3 linked regions of the Medicago truncatula genome follow. The protein of the gene in region 1 interacts with the protein of each later gene in a pairwise test. Links are inferred from orthologs where the notes say so. Each region holds a gene or a part of one and is shown in the gene's direction. Other genes may lie near its edges.

What was found.
Region 2: the proteins of auxin response factor 2B (region 1) and shaggy-related protein kinase eta interact in binary tests that used the Arabidopsis thaliana proteins (3 or more experiments, as listed by UniProt). The link is inferred for Medicago truncatula from reciprocal best matches to the Arabidopsis thaliana genes ARF2 and BIN2.
Region 3: the proteins of auxin response factor 2B (region 1) and auxin-responsive protein IAA33 interact in binary tests that used the Arabidopsis thaliana proteins (3 or more experiments, as listed by UniProt). The link is inferred for Medicago truncatula from reciprocal best matches to the Arabidopsis thaliana genes ARF2 and IAA33.

Annotation. Positions count from the first base shown.
Region 1 is NC_053049.1:44,357,090-44,364,455, forward strand, and holds the start of auxin response factor 2B, read left to right. Parts: upstream 1-4,310; 5' UTR 4,311-4,623; coding exon 4,624-4,774; intron 4,775-4,866; coding exon 4,867-4,979; intron 4,980-5,204; coding exon 5,205-5,300; intron 5,301-5,456; coding exon 5,457-5,513; intron 5,514-5,629; coding exon 5,630-5,785; intron 5,786-5,865; coding exon 5,866-5,950; intron 5,951-6,064; coding exon 6,065-6,155; intron 6,156-6,240; coding exon 6,241-6,405; intron 6,406-6,528; coding exon 6,529-6,648; intron 6,649-6,774; coding exon 6,775-7,022; intron 7,023-7,113; coding exon 7,114-7,366. UniProt on the Arabidopsis thaliana protein: Auxin response factors (ARFs) are transcriptional factors that bind specifically to the DNA sequence 5'-TGTCTC-3' found in the auxin-responsive promoter elements (AuxREs). Could act as transcriptional activator or repressor.
Region 2 is NC_053043.1:5,064,046-5,071,460, forward strand, and holds the start of shaggy-related protein kinase eta, read left to right. Parts: upstream 1-4,379; 5' UTR 4,380-4,557; coding exon 4,558-4,572; intron 4,573-5,602; coding exon 5,603-5,695; intron 5,696-5,832; coding exon 5,833-5,892; intron 5,893-5,969; coding exon 5,970-6,242; intron 6,243-6,326; coding exon 6,327-6,401; intron 6,402-6,502; coding exon 6,503-6,559; intron 6,560-6,934; coding exon 6,935-7,075; intron 7,076-7,204; coding exon 7,205-7,351; intron 7,352-7,415. UniProt on the Arabidopsis thaliana protein: Negative regulator in brassinosteroid signal transduction pathway important for plant growth. May be also involved in auxin signaling pathway. Phosphorylates and increases the degradation of BZR1 and BZR2/BES1 by the proteasome.
Region 3 is NC_053045.1:61,448,257-61,454,890, forward strand, and holds auxin-responsive protein IAA33, read left to right. Parts: upstream 1-4,319; 5' UTR 4,320-4,585; coding exon 4,586-5,019; intron 5,020-5,748; coding exon 5,749-5,836; 3' UTR 5,837-6,098; downstream 6,099-6,634. UniProt on the Arabidopsis thaliana protein: Aux/IAA proteins are short-lived transcriptional factors that function as repressors of early auxin response genes at low auxin concentrations.

The DNA of each region.
Region 1 (7,366 bases):
CTAAAATGACCTTGGCATTTAATTTGTTAATGTAATTTATTTAATATTGATCACTGGCAGCAACAGGTCACTCATATTGTATTGACCTACAAATACAAGTTACCACACCAGCATAAAAAAAATAAAATTGTCAAGACTAGTCTCTTACCAAACAAGACCCATGTTGCTTGCGTACCTTAAACGGCACCGTCAAAGATTACATGGTTCAAGCAGATTCAAAAAAGTTCGTATAATAACTCGGGCGCCATTTACGGTAGGAGAGGTGAATAGGTCTCCTATCGTAGGAGACCGTATAAAAAGACAATTTTTTTTTTGTTGTTAAAATAACATGTGTTTAAGTTAAATTCTATTTAAGTTATTCATTTAACTGCAAGGACAGTGTTGGTATTTCATCTTAAATAAAAAATTATTTTTCCATCTAGATCTGGAAATTGTTAAATTATTTTTTTTGTTTAAGTTAAATTATTTTTGCTTCAACTTCTTTCGTGTTTGTGAGAGGAAATTGTGGCAAGTTAGAGAAGTTTTGTTATTTTTATCATATCCATTCTACCCTTGAGTTTTCACTTGGAGGGAATAAACATGGAACGCATGAGCTTGCTATGAATTTTTCCAGTTTTTCCAACAATGCCAAAAACATCCTTTCTTAAATTTGAATCCAAAATCAATTGCATTTTTATAAATCAATATATATGTTAAAAAAATACAATCCTAGTGGGTCACTTATTGCAAATCTCAGCCATTCAAAAGCTTCAAAGTAAATTCAATGGTTGACATCCATTTTTCAAAAAAAAAAAAAAAAAAAACAGGTCTCCTACGGTAGGAGACCTATGAATGTCATGGACCGTAGCCTTTGCCAATAACTCGATCTAAGAAATTTAACTAGACGTGATAATCATAAATATTGTAAAAATGTTTGAGAAATTATGCGTAGATTGATGATGATGTGTCGATACTGTTTCCAAGGTGAACCCTGACTTGGATCTCTTTAAAACACGTTTCCTTAATATTTTGGTGCAAAACTTTAACGTGGCAATGATTTTCATTTATGTATTTATAGAGATTTAAAACTGGGTTGAGCCGTACTTTAAACTAACGGATCCTGCGGTAGAAACAAGGGGTGTTAAATGCTCGTGGTTTAGGCAAACTTGTTGTAAGCGATGCACACGTGGCAATATGGAAAGTTAACATCACGATGGGCAACATCCTTGCTTTGAATTTTCACCTTTTTTTTTAGTTTGAATTGCATTTGATGTATCCATTAAAAGTTGGGTTGATGATGCTTTATCCGTGTAATATATGTGATTTTCAGTTTTTTTTCTATATTTTTTTTTTTTAGTTATCCCTTTATAAAAAAAGTTTGTTTTGGAAAACCCCCTATGATATATATATATATATATATATCACTCAAAAATCTCTCACTAAAATTAAATTTGAGTTTGAGCATTACTATAAATATAACTCAGTTGAGAGTGATGTGATAGTATACCAAAATCGAAACCACAATTTCGAATTCTCATCTTACTGATCTTATAAAGTGAATTTTTACCTATTGAATTACTTGAGAAAAAACGATACAGATTGAAAGTGTGTATCTCAAGGTGAGTAATTGCTTAAATCGTAATCTTTGACTTTCCTCTTACTATCATAAATCTATCATTTACTCCCTCCATTTCAAAATAAGTACTCCATCCGTTCCTTGTATCACTTTTGGAGAAAAAATTTGTTCCTATTTAACTGTCACTTTCAAAGTTCAATGTAACATTAAATGTTGTTTTACCAATATTATTCTTAGTTATTTATTGTGGAGAGAGAAATATATGAAATGACATATTAAATGAATAAGGTCATTATAGTAAAAGTACAGCTTATTGCATCAAAAATAGTATCAATTGTTGATTGTCTTGGTTTGTGTAAAACGTCAAAATGTGACAATTAAAAAGGAATGAAAGTAGTATCATTTTAGCAAAAAAAAATTGTTTCAAAATGAATGTCACTTTCAGTTTTCAATGCAATAATAACTTTTTCTTTTCAATTGTACATTTCAATTAATATTATGTTACATTACTTCCAAAGTATTATTTTTTCTTTAATGAAAAACAAACCAATAGTTGATTAGGATAATTTGGTAAAATTGTTATGACATTTGACTACTTTATTTCATTCCTTAATATATGTGCAATTGACTAAAATGACACTCATTTTGAAACGGATTGAGTAATTTTTTTTTTGTTTTGGTGAAATTTTCCTTTTTATTGCCGTTATTAATCAGCACTTATATGAAATAACCATGGATAGTTTTGACCGTCTGTAGTAAATATTATTAGAGCATCCACAATGAAGACCCTCAAATTGAAGGTTTTAAGCGGATCCCACGTGTACACATCATTTTATTTTATTTTATAATAACAGTACCTAATAGGTACTCGGTCACTCCAATGAAGATCTTATAACAAAAAGTCTAAATAGGTCCCACCACTAACATATTATTTTACGCTTAAATGCTTTTTTGGTCCCTTAACTATTTAATTGGTATCGCTTTGGTCCCTTAACTAAAAAAAAGATTGTTTGAGGATTTTAAGTTTTTTTTTAGTATCGTTTTGGTCCCTTCTGTTAGGTTTCCGTTAGGGTTTTAAAAAAATGTTAACTCCTGGACACGTGTCACCTTGTCATTGGCTCTGAGTTTTTTTTTAATATATATATATATATATATATATATATATATATATATATATATATATTTTAAAAAAAAATCCCAAAGCCAATGGCAAAGTGACACGTGTCCCAAAGTTAACACGTGTCATCTTGTCATTGGTTCTGGGAATTTTTTACAAAAAAATAAAATATATATATTTAAAAAAATTAACTTTTTTTTTTATAAAAAATATATTTTTTTGTAAAAAAAAAAATCTCAGAGTCAATGACAAGGTGACACGTGTCCACACTTAACGTTTTTTATTAAAACCAACGGAAACCTAACAGAAGAGACCAAAACGAGACTAAAAAATACTTAAAATCATCAAACAATCTTTTTTTTAGTTAAGGGACCAAAGTGATACAAATTAAATAGTTAAGGGACCAAAAGAGCATTTAAGTCTTTATTTTAATAAAAAAGTGTGTGTGGACCACTTAAAGATGAGGTCTTAAGTTAGACCTCATCTCTTAGAAGACCCCTAAAAAAAAAATTTACAATAAAAGTACCTATTAGATATTAAATCTTAAATGGTGAAGACTTTACCATTGTAGATGCTCTTATTAATGAAAGGTCCAATTAGTCCCATATTAGGGGATCTTACTAATATTATATGAATTTTTCACATTCGACACGGAATGTTGGAAAATAATTTTGGTAGAGATAATAATATACCCCAATAGAGGGGCAATAATGTTGGTTGATGAGATAAGAAAAGCAATCTCTAAGACGGAAATGGGGGCGACAACTCCTGTTCAATCTTCACGTTTCAGTGCTGCCCTTACTGCCCAAGCGCATCAAACCTCTTATATTATCACAACTCATACAACCGGCTCCTTAAAATCAATTTTTATTTTATATCACTGCCCATACGTTACAAATTTATTATTTATTATTCATTCCAATTAATTAATTTAATCAATTGAATGCATAAATCTAGGAGAAAAATATATATATTTTTTTTTAAAATTAAACCATATTCATAAACACTTGGATTGGATGAAATAATGAAGGGTATTTTATAATTGTTTTAAGTTCAAATATATCATAAAATAAAATACAAGTGTTAATTTTTTTTATAAAGTGTTTAATTTTGTATCATAGTTTTATTCGATAAAAAAATGTCTTGTTAATCCGTACTTTAAGGACAATGGTTAAGAATTTAAAAGAGGAACTAATTTATGAATTTTATATAAAAAAGTTTTTATTTTTAATTTTTAATATAGTGAAAACACAAGTTTCAATAAATTTTTTTTTCCTTAGACTCTTAAAAAAAATTAATCTTTACAATTATGCGTAGAAATATTTGATAAAAAATGTAAAAAAGGTGAGGAAGTAACAAGGGAAAGTTAAGTAACGCGGATGGTGTTAAATGCACCCTTCTTACCCGTACCCCATTACACTGCCCGTCCACAGCACGACAACGCCATTTCCCAATAAAAACATGACAACTTTCCCGCGACCGTTAAGACAAACGCCGTTACTTTCTCCATCCAATCCTATCTTGACGTCTATTAACACCGTTTATTCTTACCCCCTTATTTCCAATGAGCCGCCTTTTATTTATGGCGTTGTTTGCGTTTCCCTAGCACCAAAACTTCCTCACTTCTGATACCCGGTTGGAAAAGCAGGTAAACCTGTTATCACCGGTTGTATCTCATTTAACCGCGGTTAAAATCATTGACCACTCTAGTTAAAGTCCTCTCTTCCGACACTCCTTCTGGTCCTCCTGCTACCATTTATCATCATCATCTTAGAGAGAGAGAGAGATAAAAATAACAAAACAAAATATTGAGAGAGAGAGAGAGATAGAAAACTTAGAGAGAGAAAGTGGGTAGTTGAACGAGTCATCGTCAATTGAAGGCTTGTTTCTTTGTTTTTGAAGATCAAGAAGAAGAACGTTGTTGTTGTTGTTGAGTTTTCATGAAGAGTGGATGTTTGGGATGAGAGATCTGGAAGAAGAAAGAAACATGGCATCATCAGAAGTATCTATGAAGGGAAATTCTGTCAACGGAAAAGGTGAAAACAACGTTGATGGTGTTGGAGATGCTCAAAATGGTTCTTCATCGTCATCAACAGGAAGAGGTAACAACGTTAACGTGGTTTTATCTGTAATTAAGGTTTTGTGTAACAAATTATGGAGTGATAATGTTTTTTTTTTCTTTTCATTTTTCCAGAAGCTGAAGCTGCACTTTACAGAGAACTATGGCATGCGTGTGCTGGTCCTTTGGTAACAGTTCCAAGAGAAGGAGAACTTGTGTTCTATTTTCCACAAGGACATATTGAACAGGTAACACAAACATTACCTATTTTCCGACAATTATCTTTCATGGTTTGGTTCTTGTTTTCTTTAGTTAAGTTAGCTACCGGTTTATCTGTGTGTCAACTCAGATTTGTCACACTTAACTCGTTTTGGTTCCTAATTTAGCAGCATCTGGGTTTTTTCTTTTTTATATTAGAATTAGAGTTATTATGATGATGATTATGGTGAAATTAACATAATTCCATACATTAGGTGGAAGCTTCAACAAATCAAGCATCGGAACAACACATGCCGGTTTACGATCTCCGACCTAAGATCCTTTGTCGGGTCATCAACGTTATGCTAAAGGTAAATTTTCCTCTTTTCCTTTTTTTTTTTTGAATAATTTAATAAATTCCTTTCTTTTTCTAACAGTAACACAGTTGTTTTGTTTGTGTAATTATAAAATATAATAAAATTATTTATCTTTTAATTATTGATTAATTTTTGTATATTTTTTTGTAGGCGGAGCCAGATACTGATGAGGTGTTTGCACAAGTGACTTTGGTACCAGAGCCCAATGTGAGTTTTTCCACTAATTTTCTTTTGGTTTCTTTGGTTTGGAGTAACAAACACAGCATGTTCTTATTTTTTTCTTTGTGTGTTGTTTTGGATTGTGGATCTGGATGATATTGTAGCAAGATGAAAATGCTGTTGAGAAAGAAGCTCCACCTGCTCCTCCGCCGAGATTTCATGTTCATTCGTTTTGTAAAACGTTGACCGCATCTGATACCAGTACTCATGGTGGTTTTTCTGTACTTAGACGACATGCTGATGAATGTCTTCCTCCTCTGGTTTGTTCTCTGTTCCCTCTTCTTCCTCCTTCTGTTTTTCCATATGGATGAAATTGATGGTGTTTGTTGTTTGGTGATAGGATATGTCAAAGCAACCACCTACACAGGAATTGGTGGCCAAGGATCTGCATGGGAATGAGTGGCGTTTTAGGCATATTTTTCGCGGTAATTACTAGTCCATCTTAAACTGTTGACCACTTGATTTATTTCTTATTAATTTTTGTTCATTTTTTTTTTTTTTTTTTTTTGTGTTTGATGTGTGAGGTGAATTGATTTCAGGTCAACCGCGTAGACATTTGCTGCAGAGTGGTTGGAGTGTTTTTGTCAGTTCTAAGAGGCTGGTTGCTGGGGATGCATTTATATTTCTGAGGTTTGCTTAGTTGTTATAACATCATTTTTGAATTAGTGTTTTTTTGTTGTTGTTGGTGATTTTGACTAATTTAGGATTTTTCCAGAGGTGAGAATGGGGAGCTTCGAGTTGGTGTCAGGCGTGCAATGAGACAGCAGGGTAATGTTCCATCCTCGGTTATCTCTAGCCATAGCATGCATCTTGGTGTTCTTGCAACTGCCTGGCATGCTGTTTTGACTGGGACCATGTTCACTGTTTATTACAAACCCCGGTATGCAATTTGTTCTTAAACCATGTCTGCTCTGTTCTAACTATTATCTGATTTGAGTGTTCTTTCTGATTTATTTCCCTAGGCATTGAGTTTACACCGTTCTTGCTCATGTTTCTTCTGCAGGACTAGTCCAGCGGAGTTTATTGTTCCGTATGATCAATACATGGAGTCTCTAAAAAATAATTATACAATAGGCATGCGGTTCAAAATGAGGTTTGAGGGTGAAGAGGCTCCTGAGCAAAGGTGTGAATGATCAAAACAATAATGTCTTTTTTCTCTGTTTAAGTTTTAATGTTACTACTGCTTGCTGGTTATGTCCATTTATTCTTTATCTAATGGTTTATTTTGATTTGGTTTTTGTATGTGTAGGTTTACGGGTACCATTGTTGGAATTGAAGATTCCGACTCCAAAAGATGGCCAACATCTAAATGGAGATGTCTCAAGGTTAGATGGGATGAAACATCTAACATACCTCGTCCTGAGAGAGTTTCCCCTTGGAAAATAGAGCCTGCTCTTGCTCCTCCAGCTCTAAATCCTCTTCCAATGCCCAGGCCTAAAAGGCCCCGTGCTAACGTGGTGCCGTCATCCCCAGATTCTTCTGTTCTTACCCGCGAAGGTATTGTGAGAACTTGATATTTCTAAGAATTCCTCCTTTGCGTTGTGGTTTTTGTATGAAGCCTGATTTGTTTTTGCTGATCAATTAACAGCATCGTCAAAAGTAAGCATGGACCCTTTGCCCACTAGTGGTTTCCAGAGGGTCTTGCAAGGTCAAGAATCATCGACCTTGAGAGGAAATTTGGCTGAAAGCAACGACTCTTACACTGCAGAGAAGTCTGTTGCGTGGACTCCTGCAACTGATGAAGAAAAGATGGATGCTGTTTCTACTTCAAGAAGGTATGGTTCAGAGAACTGGATGCCAATGTCAAGGCAGGAACCAACGTATTCGGACCTTCTGTCGGG
Region 2 (7,415 bases), on another chromosome or scaffold:
ACCGACACCTCCTCACACCACCAAAAATGTGGCCTACATCACCACCTCACACACCCATCACCTCCTCCACATAGATCTGGATTGGAAGGAAACAACCACCACACAAAAACACCAGACAATTTGTATTTTTCTAAGAGCCGCAAACTCAGCACACGCAAGGAAGAAAACAACCGCAACTATTGTACTAAAACCACCACCAACACCTCCTATTACCTCCAAAACCGAGACTTACCTCACCACTGTCACCACCTCACACCACCATCACTTCCTGCACAGGGATCTGGGACAAAACGAAACAAACACAAAAGAGCCACTACGAAAATCAACGCCAACATATACCAACATATACGAAAACCACCCAAATCTGCCATAACAAACCACCATCAACCCCACCACCATGAGTTGCTACACCACCATCATATGGATCACGCAGAAGAGGAATAAAACCACCGACGAGAACCGCTACGACGGAATGACTACAACACAAATCCGGACACCAACCCACGAATCCAAGGCCATCACCACCGAGAAAGGGTGTTGCGCAACCCATATCAACCACCAAACCACCGCCATCTTGGAATTATACCAAAGGCCGCTGGCGGTCTACGACCACCCCAACATAATATTGACACTTTATAAAAAATAATATTGGAATGATAAAAAATAATATTGACACTTTAATTGCATTTCTTAATCCATGTGTATTTGTTAGAATGACATATAAAATGGAACGGAGGAAGTAGTTTATATCAAACGTGTTTTTAAATGTTGGATTGCCATTCGTCTTGGCCCAAACATATACAAAGTAACATTTGATCTATTAGTTGTCCTATCTTAGAAACTTTTTAGCACCCTGGTATAAAAAGCTTAGAAAATTCCTATAATTGATCAATAACCTAACATTTTCTACTTTTGGCCCCCGTGATATTATATACTTTATTGTTTTATTTTTGAAAGACTTGCAAAAACATGCTATGAAAAATCAATAGCAAAAAAAATTCTATTAATACAATGTCTATCATGATGACACATCATTTCTTAACATATTATAATTCTTCTGAAGTGGTGATAGATTTGAGAGAAGAAAATTTGGTCTAAAAAACTAAACTCAATCCACTCTTTAATGAAAGCTATATGTGAATTTATGTTTGATCATTTTTATTACCACTTATAAAATTCTTTCTTTCAAAAAAGTTTATCGGAGGATAACTTATATCTTTTTATCACATTTTATTTCTTGAACAATTTATTAAGGAAAACATGCAGTAATGAAGCACAAAGTTGTGTGCATTGATTGATCTTGATCATAAATCTTAGATTGGCCGGTTCATATTACACTCATGTAAAATCATCTTTAAATAATCTTTATTGTTGATTTAAGATTAAACGACCAAATGATCAAAAGTAACAAAAAAAGACCATATGATCACATAATTAATGTGTGGCATCTGAATTACATGGATGCATCATATTTTTATTGATAGTATTTTAGCAATTATATACTCATCCGATGTAATATTTTTGCTGTTATAAACAGAGTTTGCATGCAATATTATTTCCCTTGTCTAGTATTGAAGGTGGTTAATTAATTGAAATACAAAACAAAAAATAAACGTACCCAAACTTTCTATGTAAATTTGATTATGGTAAATTTAAAAAGAAAATTCAATCTAAGTAACTTTTCAAGTAGTACAAAGATTTGTTAAAAAAATAGAGTAGTAACTATTTCACAACTGTATAATTTTAACTATGTAATTTTACATGAATCTAATCTATAATTATGTTCCAATTGTGTAACTATTTCACAAAGGCAACCATATATTGGTACACATTCTCTCAAAAAAAAAAAAAAAATTGTGTACACAATTTTTATCCCTCTTCTTTATACTATTATATTAACGGAGAAATGGGTAAGTTTTGACATTTACTATTATGAGTTGTATGAAATGTCCCTTACATATGATTATCACTAACGAGTTTGTACTATTTCTTTTATTTACATTTAATGCATTCTTCTTTGCTTCTTCTGGGAATATTTTTCTCTATATTATTTCTATTCCTAACTTATATTTTTTAAAGAGAAAATGATGCATTAGATTATGAACAATGTTCTATAACAAATACTAACAACAATTTTAACATAGAAAGGAGAAGGAAGCTATGTTACCAAAGTTGCACTTGCAAATATATGGTCATGATCAACTGTTGTTGACTATACCATTTCAACAATAAGATGCTAAGAGTTGTGTGGTTAAAATCATAGCTAAAAAGTTTACATGTAGTTACTAGTTAGACTTAGATATGAAATGAGATTTTATGGTGCCGTTTAGTTATGAGTTTGAATGGTTGAGTATCACTTCGTTGTTGGGAACCAAACACATTTTTAATTAAAATTTATCCTCTTCTCTCTTTTGAACCAAACATATATTTAATTAAAATATCTCCCCTCCATTTTCTTTCACTCCATTAAAATCCATTCCCTCCTCTTCATTGAACCAAATATACCCTTATAGCATTTTTTTAACAAATAGAACAAATAAATTTTGTATTATTAAATTGGTTGTCGTGATTGCTATTATTGATGGTTATAGAAAATTTAACAATACGCATGTATTTATACTAGTTCTAAGCCTCGTTTCGGAAAGAGTTGTGTTATTTAAAAAACTATTTATATGACAACTTTTGAGACAACCATAAATTTATAAAAAAAAAAGTATCGACATAAAAGCCAAAACAATAGAGAGGAAAAATAAAAACATAACATGAGTATGAAAGAGAAAGTTGTCACAAAAGTTGTCAAAATATAATTGTACAAATATTATTTATCTTTTGAAAAGCACGAAGTTATTATGCACAAATCTAACCTCCATGTGTAACTACATCCGACAACCACTAATCTCCAACACAAAGCCCCTGTTTGGTTCTGCGGTAAGATGCCTCAAACGTGCGTTTTTCACTACAAACGGGATTTCATGACACTTGAAGGATGTTTGGCAAGCAGTTGGAAACATGATTCTTCCTTTCAAAATCGATTCCAGTTGAAGCTACCATGTGTAGCTTTTGCGTCTGACTATATAATCAATTTTATGGAAATCACAAGATATTTTACAGCTCTATCCTTTTCATCCCGCGCTTATTTCTTTCTGTTATGTGCTACAGTGTCATTGTCTAGAGGTTAGTAGTGATAAAACTAAGAGAAATGATATTTGAACATTTTTTTTTATAACTTTTGTGACAACTTTTTCTCTCATACTCACATTATGTGTTACTTTATCTCTCTATTGCTTTGATTTTCGTGCAAATACCTACTTTTTCTTTGTAAATTATTGTTGTCACATAAGTTGTCAACCAAATAGTTATTCAAATAACACTTCTCTAAAACTAAATGGCTCTGAAGTCCCATCATTATGTTGAGTCGGTTGCCTTTAATTTTTTTTTCCTTTCTTTATATTATTACCTTTTACTTAATCAACATATTTATGTTTTACTTACTACCCAATCAACGTATTTGACAGTATTTTATTAATCAATTAACATAAAAAAATAATTAAAGAAGATGTAACAAGAAAAATGTATCAATCCACTATATTAACCAAAATAAAAGAAAAACTAATTAAATGATTGAGAAAAAATTTACCAAAATAAATGAAGGAGAGAAAAAAAAAATTAACAAAATAAATGAATGAGAAAATTGATCTATATGTTAAAACCTATTTTGGTCATTTCCACGCTCAAAAGCAATTTTGACACAAAATATCCAAACATCATCTTACATACAAATCAATTTTGCATTGAAGGTATTCAAACACAAACCACTTTATGTTAAACTCACTTTTAACCAAAATCAATTCTGCAAAATTAATTCAATCAAAATCAAATTTTGCCACCGCGTAATCAAACACACGCTAATTCAAAATCAATTTATATGTAATCTCAAAACCAAACATACGCTAGCTTTATTAAAAAATTCAACAAAATTTATATACAACCTATAATTATAGTATTACCGATTAAAACTCGATCAAGTATGATTATAATTTTTTTTAGATAAACAAAATAACAATAGTTATTAAAAACTCACTCATAAAAATAAAAAAATTAAAGTTCAAACTTCGATCACCACAATTAACTTAACATTTTCGTTGTTATTATCTATTGAGAGATGACATATTCATATGAACTCAACTTTCAATCAAGTACTAGTATAGTAGTATTAAATTAAACAAAAAGACATATTTTTTTGACCGACAGATTAAATTAAGCACGTCTAATGATTGTATTAACAGCAAATTGTTGATAATCAACAAAGCTGGTCAATGAAAATAGCAAAAGTCCAAAAAAGAAAATTAAGAAAAAATAATAACAATAAAGAAAAAGAAAAGGTAGACAGAAAAGAAAGGGGAGAGAGAGAAGAAAAAGAAGAGCTGGAATCACATGGACTTGTCTTTCCCTTGCTGGGTCCTCCATTCTCTTCTTCTTACTTTCTCTTCCATTCTCTTCTTCTCTCTTTCTTAGATTCATTCTTCTCTTCTTTCTTCTCTTCCTCCTCCTTCAACCATGTCTGAGGATAAGGTACTTTTTTGTAGCATAAAAATCCCCTTTTTTTTTTTAGCTTTTTTGATTGGTTTGTGAAAAAACTGTGATCCATGAATGCTAAAATTGAAAAAAGTTGTGATTTTTATTGTTTTTGTTGGATTATGAAGCTGTAAATTCATCTGGGTTGTGTGATTTTTGTTTAATTTTTTTTTGTTAGTTGATTAAGGGATTGTTAGGGTTTGTTATTTTGGGGGAAATTTGATTTGTTGCTAAATTTTTTTTGGTCTTTGAGGTTAATAGAGAAAACCCATTTTGCTTATTTTGAAGTTGATCTATGGGTTTCTATGAAGTTTTAATTTTTTTTCTTTATTGAACTGGATTTTTTTTTAATTTTTTTAATTTTTAAGATTTGTTTGTTGCCGACAGTTATGTTATAATCAGATCATGTTCTTATGTTGATGTTGGACTCTCAAGGTTTTGTTTTGTTTGTTTGTCATGAATCTGTGATTGGTTGCTAGTTTTGCTATATGTGTAGTTTATCAGTTTGATTTGCGATTCTGATGAACATGTTTTGGTTCAATTTGTTGTTATCTGTTTCTATCTGTTGTATTGTTTTGAAATTTTAAGATATTTTAGCAAAATATTTTGTTGTGTTGCTTTTTTGTTTCTTACTTCAATTTTTTCAATAAAAGTTTGTCAAAAATTAAGTTTGTTTTCTGGATTGAGTGCTGCTATAGTTCTTGGTCGCTTGGTCTTTAGTTTTTAGCATCTTATTTCCTTCATGGTCGTCTTTTTGCGGTATCATCATATGTTGCGTACCAGATTTGTTTCTTCATGTTATATCTTTTAGAAACTTACCTTTTGTGTTTTTGAGTATGCTGTTGATATGTGATGGTTTAATTAATTGTGTATCTTGTTCTTCATGGTAGTCTTTACTTGCTATTTTTGATGTGTTCATCAATTAGTTAATCATATTGTTTCTATTTTTAACTTCACTTTGAAATCAAACCATCTATAAGTATTTTGTGAGCAATTCCAAATTCTTATGTTCCATCAATTTCAACAGGAGATGTCTACTTCTGTTATCAATGGGAACGATTCCCTCACTGGTCACATTATATCTACAACAATTGGAGGCAAAAATGGAGAGCCAAAACAGGTATCATATTCTGTAAATCCTGTTTTGCTGATAATATTTCAATTTTGAGATTGAGTGATTTGCCGAGTTGTTAACAGTTCCATTTGATAATTTTTCCTGGATTCCAAGTTTGACATCTTGTTCAATGGTTCTTGTAGACTATTAGTTACATGGCAGAGCGTGTCGTAGGAACGGGATCATTTGGAATTGTTTTCCAGGTATGCTAAAGCTAGATTCCTAATTGTTGTTGTCTCCACCATTTTTTTTTGCCGCATGCTGATTTTTCTCTTCTTAGGCAAAATGCTTGGAAACTGGAGAGGCAGTAGCCATTAAGAAGGTTTTGCAAGACCGAAGATATAAGAACCGTGAACTACAATTGATGCGTGTGATGGACCATCCAAATGTGGTCACTTTGAAGCATTGTTTCTTTTCAACTACAAGTACGGATGAACTTTTTCTGAATTTGGTGATGGAATATGTTCCAGAATCCATGTATCGGGTCTTAAAGCACTACAACAATGCTAATCAGAGAATACCGATCATCTATGTAAAACTTTATATGTACCAGGTATGCCTTTAACTTTCTGGCGAATAAAAAACTTCTCTAATTCATTCAGTCATTGGCTGATATAAACTTGTGGTGGGCATGCAGATCTTCAGGGGGTTGGCTTATATCCACACTGTTCCCGGAGTTTGCCACAGGGATTTGAAACCTCAAAATATATTGGTATGTTAATATGCTGTTGCTGGATATACATTTAAAGTTAGAACTCTTTCGTAAACGTAGTAGTTACTTCTGGCCCTGATTTCATTATGTTTGTTCTCCAGGTTGATCCTCTCTCACATCAAGTTAAGCTATGTGATTTTGGAAGTGCAAAAATGCTGGTATGTTGACCTGCTCATCATATTTTAATATGCCTAGTTTTCTTTCTTTGGTGTGCACCTGTATTTTTTTTCCTTTTAATTGAGTATTCAGTAACATTATTATTATTATTAATTGTTTTTTTTCTTTTCATTTTGAGTATTCAGTAACTTAGAATGTCAACCGATAATCAATCAATTTTCATAAAGTTTTGACACTTGTAGATGAGATGTTTGTAATTATTACACTGTGTTGATGTCAGTTTCTTTGCATGATGTCTTTCGCTGCTCAACAGCAAGCTTTGGAGTCTCCCTACACTCTTATTTATTTATTTTATTTCAAAGAATTCATAGTACTTTCATATGGTACTGATTTTAGATTTTTTTTTCTTTGTTCAGGTCAAGGGCGAAGCTAATATATCATACATATGTTCTCGTTTCTATCGAGCTCCAGAACTTATATTTGGTGCCACAGAGTATACTACTTCAATTGATATTTGGTCAGCTGGCTGTGTCCTTGCTGAACTGCTTTTGGGCCAGGTTTGTGCCATTATTTTGTTTTCATACTCACAGTCATCACCATCATCATCTAGTGCAAAATGATGTATTTCTACTAGTATCTTCCACCTATGACCTACCTGTCATCTGATACAATGCTATCTTTTGTAGCCGTTATTCCCTGGTGAAAATGCAGTGGACCAGCTCGTACATATTATAAAGGTGCTTGGAACACCCACCCGGGAGGAAGTACGCTGCATGAATCCCAATTACAATGACTTCAGGTTTCCGCAAATAAAAGCACACCCATGGCACAAGGTCTGCTTCTCTCTTCTTCGACTGCTGATTTTTTAGATGATCAAAATTTGAGTTGCTTTGACAA
Region 3 (6,634 bases), on another chromosome or scaffold:
CTTTTACAAGCATCATTTATAGCACTTTGATGTGGTTCTCTTATCCAAAATTGTTTAGGTTCGTATCACTTCGGTCTCCATCTCTGCATATTAGGACATTAGTGTCTCATTGTATTTTCAAGGAATCACATGTGTATCGAATGTTGCTAATTAGGAACTTAAAAGCAATTAAATTCCGTTGAATTGTACTCTATCCGTTCCAAAATAACTTACTTTGATCATATTTTTAAACTAATATACAAATATAAATATTAGCATGTAAATTGTTTTATTTCAATGAATATTTTTTAAAATTTTTATTATAGATAATCAAATATATTAATGATTAAAATTGTGTATTGACATATATTCCGTGATTGATTGAGATATGTATTTTAAAACGGAAATGATAAACGAACACAAACCTTTAAACACAATTTCGACATCACCGTATACTTGTACGGTATTTTTCATTTTTTTAATTTCTTTTATTTTTCTTTCCCTCTTCTCCTCTACTGCAACCCTCACTCACTCTCTCTCCTCTTCAACCTCCTTCGATCTCTCTCCACACAAACATGCTCAGCCTCCGCTCCCTCTTCGATAAGCTTCCGACCGCCGCAACATCCACCATTTCTCTCCGGCAGCGTGTGACGGCAGGCGTAACATCCAGATCTAGACATCATTTGAAGGTCCGCGATGGTGTTGACGATGACGGGAGGCGATGATTGATGATGGTGATTGTGAGGAAGAGGTGTGGTGCTGACAGTGGGAGGTTGGTGGTGGTGGGGAGGCCAACGGTGGGAGATCTGGAGGACAGTGAGAGTTCAGAGAGATGGAGAGAGAAAGAGAATGGACGGGGGTCACTGCGTCGGAGGATGGTGACGGTGGTGGTGGGAGGACGGAGGTGTTGCGAGGACAGTGGTTATGGACTTGTGGTTCAGTTCTGAGAGAAACTAAACAGAAGAGAGAATGAATGATGTGGCACGAGGTAGAGAAACAAAAGAGGGTGTGTGGTGGTTTTACAAAGCTGCCCTTAACTTAAGGTTGAAATGACAAAACTGGATGTTGGTATTGTGTTTAAAATTTTGTGTCTAGTTATCATTCCTCGTTTTAAAATGGAAAGGATAGTGGTTTGCCAAATTATTTCATAAAACCGTGTCTAACTTTTTTAGCTATACGTGCATTGTGGTGAAGTTTAAAGGCAATTCCAGCTTGTTTTGCTAAAAGTTTAAGGTGATTTAAAATATATTTAATGATGTCGTACGTTTTGTTTTTAACAGTAATCAAGGTCAACATTATCCAACTTATCCTCTAAACTAGGCTCTGCCCACATTGAGTTGAAATAGTGACCCTTGAAGCCATGCACACAATGTGAACCAGTTAAGCAAAAACATGCCGTTGAAAATAAATAATTATAAAGTAAATTACACTCTTCTCCCTTCAAAGATACTTAAATTACACTTCCATCTCCTCTTATGTTAAAATATACACTCTGCTCCCTTGAAAAAAAATTATACTTCCCTATCATATAAGATGCTTGAATTACAATCACCTCCCTTAATAAATAAATATGCATTACACTTTAATCTATTTTAACATAAATAAATATTTTTATGATATATATAAATTTTGAACCACCATTTAAGGAAAATAAATTCATCACTTTATAATTTAAATGTCAATGATAATTAAATTTGAATATTTTCTTATTAATTTTATAATTTAGAATATAAAATTAACTTTTAAATAACCATACTTTATTGTCTTTAGTAATTTTTCACATATTTTAATTTTATTTTGGGTTGTTTCGTATTTTATAATAAGGTTTAAAATTATATGTTAATGCAACTGTGAATAAAAATATAGGGAAAAATATGTATTCAAATTTTGATTATATTAAAATAGACCCGCAATACCATTTTTTTTAATTATGTTAGATTATCAATTTTTTTGCTAGATTATTAGAAATAAAAAAAAATTATTGAGGAAGTAAAGTTTAGGTCTTAACATAAAAGGGGAGGGGAATGTAATTCAAGCTTCTCTTAGGGGAGGGAAGTGAAATATTTTCTAATGTGTTTTGAATAAAAGGGGGGGGGGGAGTGTATATTTCAACTTAAGAGGGGAGGGGAGTGTAATTCATGCATCTTTGAGGGAAGGAGAGTGTAATTTACTCATAATTATACCCTAAATTGTTAGTTACAATTATTAATTGTTTACTGTTTCACAAAGAAAATAAGAGTTTCTAGTTAAGAGTTTAGGGGAACCCTTAAATTATAGTGACATACATGTCTCTTTTAGTTGAATAACCACATGTCTCTTATTTTTTATGAAGAAAAAAAAAAAGTGAACCGAGCATCATAACAAATGTATTTTAATATTTACCTTACCCATCAATGAGATTCTAACCTGAGTACGGAACTTGAACTCATACCTTTATAAACAGAAACAAATGGATGAAGGTGTATGTAATTGGGAACAGTTCCAACTTGTTTATTCTGCTAGCCGTGATTATTAAATGATTGTTTTTTCCTATAACTGTGATCGGAGGGTGTATATAATTAGTAGATATTAATATATCTTCAATATTTTGGATATAAAATGGTAAAGTTTTTTAGCTTCGACACCCCTATATGTCACCCAGTCACCACTAATCGAGATATTTGAATATGTTGCTCCTTGTAAAAGAATAAGTCAACTTCTTAACAACAAATCTAACATGCGTTTATAATTCTAGAGGGTTTTGTATCAACTTATTCATGGTTTCAATTTCTTTCTTTGATCATTTATTTTAAATTTTTTTGGTACAGGGTTTGTATCAATTTACTATTTCTTCGAGTGAATTTGTGTTTTGCACGTTCCACTTCATATACTACTTGAATTCATTGCTTGTAATTTTATTAGATTTTTAGTGATCGAGCAAATTAAACGCATTACTTTGGGTCTCTAAATGTTGCAAACCTTTCGGCGACTGCAGCGCGGTCGTCTCCGTTGCTCATGCACACTGCAATTTTCAAGATTGTTTTAAGCTTTCTTTAGTCTAATCTCGTGTGCAAAGCTTATAGGCTTGCTTTTTCTTGACGCATTCAATTAAAATTGTGTGGCCATCCCAATGAAAATTGTAGTATTATTGTAATTCATCTCGACAACATCACCCACCATAAATCTAAATGCAAGTTTTTTTTTTTTTTTTTTTGACACAACAAATTTGAAGGTTTACTATTAAAGATGTAAATAGGTCAAACCGACCGACCGATCGAGTGGGATAAAAACCTAGTCATTCTTAAAAAAGATCTTTTAATTATCGAAAACCTAGTCTTTGGAGACATGTTATTACTACTATGTTTTCCATTCCAAGTTATGGTGATATTGATCGTCATGAATATGCCTGGAAGTTTACCAATCATGAAGAGTATAATGTGAAATCGTCCTACCATATTATTGTGGAGGACCGAGTGGATAAATAGTATTCTTCGTGTTAATGGAAATTGAGTGAAAATTTGAAAGTTGAAAGGCTAAAATATGGTTTTGAATGCCTCATTTTGGTTTTCGTCTATGTAATTCTTTTTTTTTTGTTCTTGGTCCCTGCAAATATGTCTCGTTTTGGTTTTCGTCTCTGACCTCACTTTTGTGATGATTTACACACGTGACATATGATAACCGAACCCATTTATTAGAAAAATAGTCCCTGCAAAATCTTTTGATTTTTAAAAAGGTTCTTGCAAAATATTTTGCAGGGACCAAAAACAACAATTTTTTTTACAGGGACTAAAACCAAAACGGGACATATTTGCAGGGACCAAAACCATATTTTAGCCAGCTTAAAAATTCCTCAAAAAGTAAAGGTGTTCCTTTAGCGTGTAGTTCTGAGTTGTGTCTTTCTAGACATTGTCATCAAGTGTGTTCTAAATTGTTTTGATCACTACATTCATTCTAATGTTAATTATGAAAATGAACGGGATACATTTTTTGGATGTAACAAAGTCCAATAGGTATGAGCCGCGAGTGGATTATGGTCAACCATACACACCCTTAACCGTTTTAAGAGATAAGAACTACTCTAGTTTGAAAAGTAAATGAGATATTTATGAGAAATGATATTTGTATAATTAATTTGTGATAATTTTTTGACAACTTTCTCTCTAATACTTACGTTATTCTCTTTCCATTGTTTTTGATCAATAAAAAGAGAAAAAAAAAATTATCACAAAAGTTGTTCAAATATTACTACTTATATTTTATAAGGGAAAAATTAGTAGTAATAGTTATAGGATTTGAGTATACTATTAAATATGATCTTGAAAAAGTAAAACTAAGCCACGAGAGTGGGGTGGATTCTAGACATCTATCTGACCACTCCCGACATTTGTGCTTACTACATGTACATTTTCATTTCTCAACATCAATCAAATATATATATGTATCATCAAATATAGTGCCCCAGGAACACCACAAACAAACCCTTTTCTGTTTTGATCCATTTCTACCTACAATTAGATTCAAAATTAACTAGTTACATCCAATTACCATTTGCACTAGGACTCTTGAGTGCACAACTGCACATGCACATATATTTCCTCTTCTTTGGTAAATTTGCACAACTATACTCATGATGAACAGTTTTGACCCCCAAAGATGGCAACAAGATCATAGAAGACAGAAAAATATCATAGGTGCATCATCTTCAACTAGTTCTTCATCTTTGGCTAATTTCTATGCCAGTAATAATAAAAAAACCAAGTACAACAAACTTCAAACACTCTCACATGGGCTTGAGCTGGATGATGATCTTGTCTCTAGTAGTGTAGTTCCTGCTGTGACAGTTGTGTTGGAGGGCCGTTCGATCTGCCAACGCATCAGCCTTCACAACCACGGTAGCTACCAAAGTCTGGCCAAGGCTCTCCGCCAGATGTTTGTCGATTGCACGGATGACTGCGACGCCGGTGATCATCATCTTGATCTTTCTAATGCCATTCCTGGTCATGTTATTGCCTATGAAGACATGGAGAATGATCTTCTTCTTGCTGGTGATCTTACCTGGAAGTAAGCATCGATCTTGTTCATCTCTCAATTATATATATAAATTTCTCTCTTCCTTAATTAATTATTATGAGCTATTTAATTTGCTTGTTTATAAATGCTTGAGAAAAATATAGCTTCTAAATGAAAAACTATATAATCAGTTGTCAATCATGCCATATAATTCCTGTAAAAAAAATAAAAAAATCATGCCATATAAATAGTTGAAAATTTTACGTTACTATAATACTTCAGATTGTATTCTTGTCAAAAAAAATTAAAATAATACTTCATATTGTGGTGGCTGATGGTTCCATCCAAACCACTTTAATTTTTGTGTTAACCCTCCTGTTCTTATCAGAAAGAGGTCTGGAGTTTGGTTGTTCCATCCAAGAATTAAGTTCAGATTCTCCTGAAGATATGTCATTTGGTAAAACTCATTAACCATTTGATCATAATCACTTGATTAACTTATATTCTATTATTTGTTATTAGAAGAATAAAAATTTGAATTACCAACATAAATTAGAATTGAAAACATATATAAAGAGTCTTTTTCAAATTTTGTGTCGCTGACACTTAACAATTAACATTACATTTGAGATGGATTTTTTTTTTTCGTTTTTAATTTTTATTTTGTAAATTCAATTTTTTAATAGAGCTAATTGGCTTATAATTTGTATTTATTTATTATTATAAGCATGCATTGATTATTATTATTCTGATAGTTATGTTATGTGTGTTTGCATTCAGAGATTTTGTACGTGTGGCAAAGAGAATTCGGATACTTCCAGCGAAGGGGAACTCAAGGAAAGGTACAAGAAGTACAGGAGAGGCATAAGCTTATCTACCACATCAAAAACATGAAAGATGGTTAATCGTTTTGGGATTGTTAATTTAATTTGTACTTTCAGGAAAAGTATGAAGTAAATTAAAATAATTTGGCTATATAAAGATGGTCAGTAATAAGATCGGTGTACTAATATAACGCCAGCAAGAAATGCTGGTTGATTATGAGTAAGTTAATTAATCCAATTGAAATTACATGTAAGTAAAGTTGTGCTTTAATTTGTATGAATAAAAGGGATATTGATTCTGAAAAATGATATTGTATAACACACATCATTTTTACTAACAATCAGCAAAAGTATTTTGTTTTTTCTGAAAAAGGACACTTTTATGTATGTGTGTGTGTATATATAGAATAAAACTAATAGATACATTGATAAGCAAGAGAGTGGGAGAGATATGATAAGTGATACATTGAATCTAGAGGAGAGATTGGGAGTTAACGAAGTGTCTGAATGGTTTAGGAGAAGTTAAATATCTATAGAAAGAAGGTATCTAAAAGTTTCACCAAAAATAGAAGATATCTACAAATATTATGCAAAGGCTAGTTTTAATTTATATATGGAATCGTTATTTTTTTATTTTTTTGTCACGATATGCAATCGTTATTTATTTATTTAATTTTTTTTAATAGATTTTAGAAGAAGAAAAAAATCTAGGTATTGTTAGATTTTTATCTAAAAAAAAAATATAGTGTGTGCTTGTTAGAAGCTTTTTTTTGTTAGGAGCTTAATCATGTGTAAACTTTTTGTAGAAGGTGTATCTGCAAAAGTTGAAAGATATATAGCTT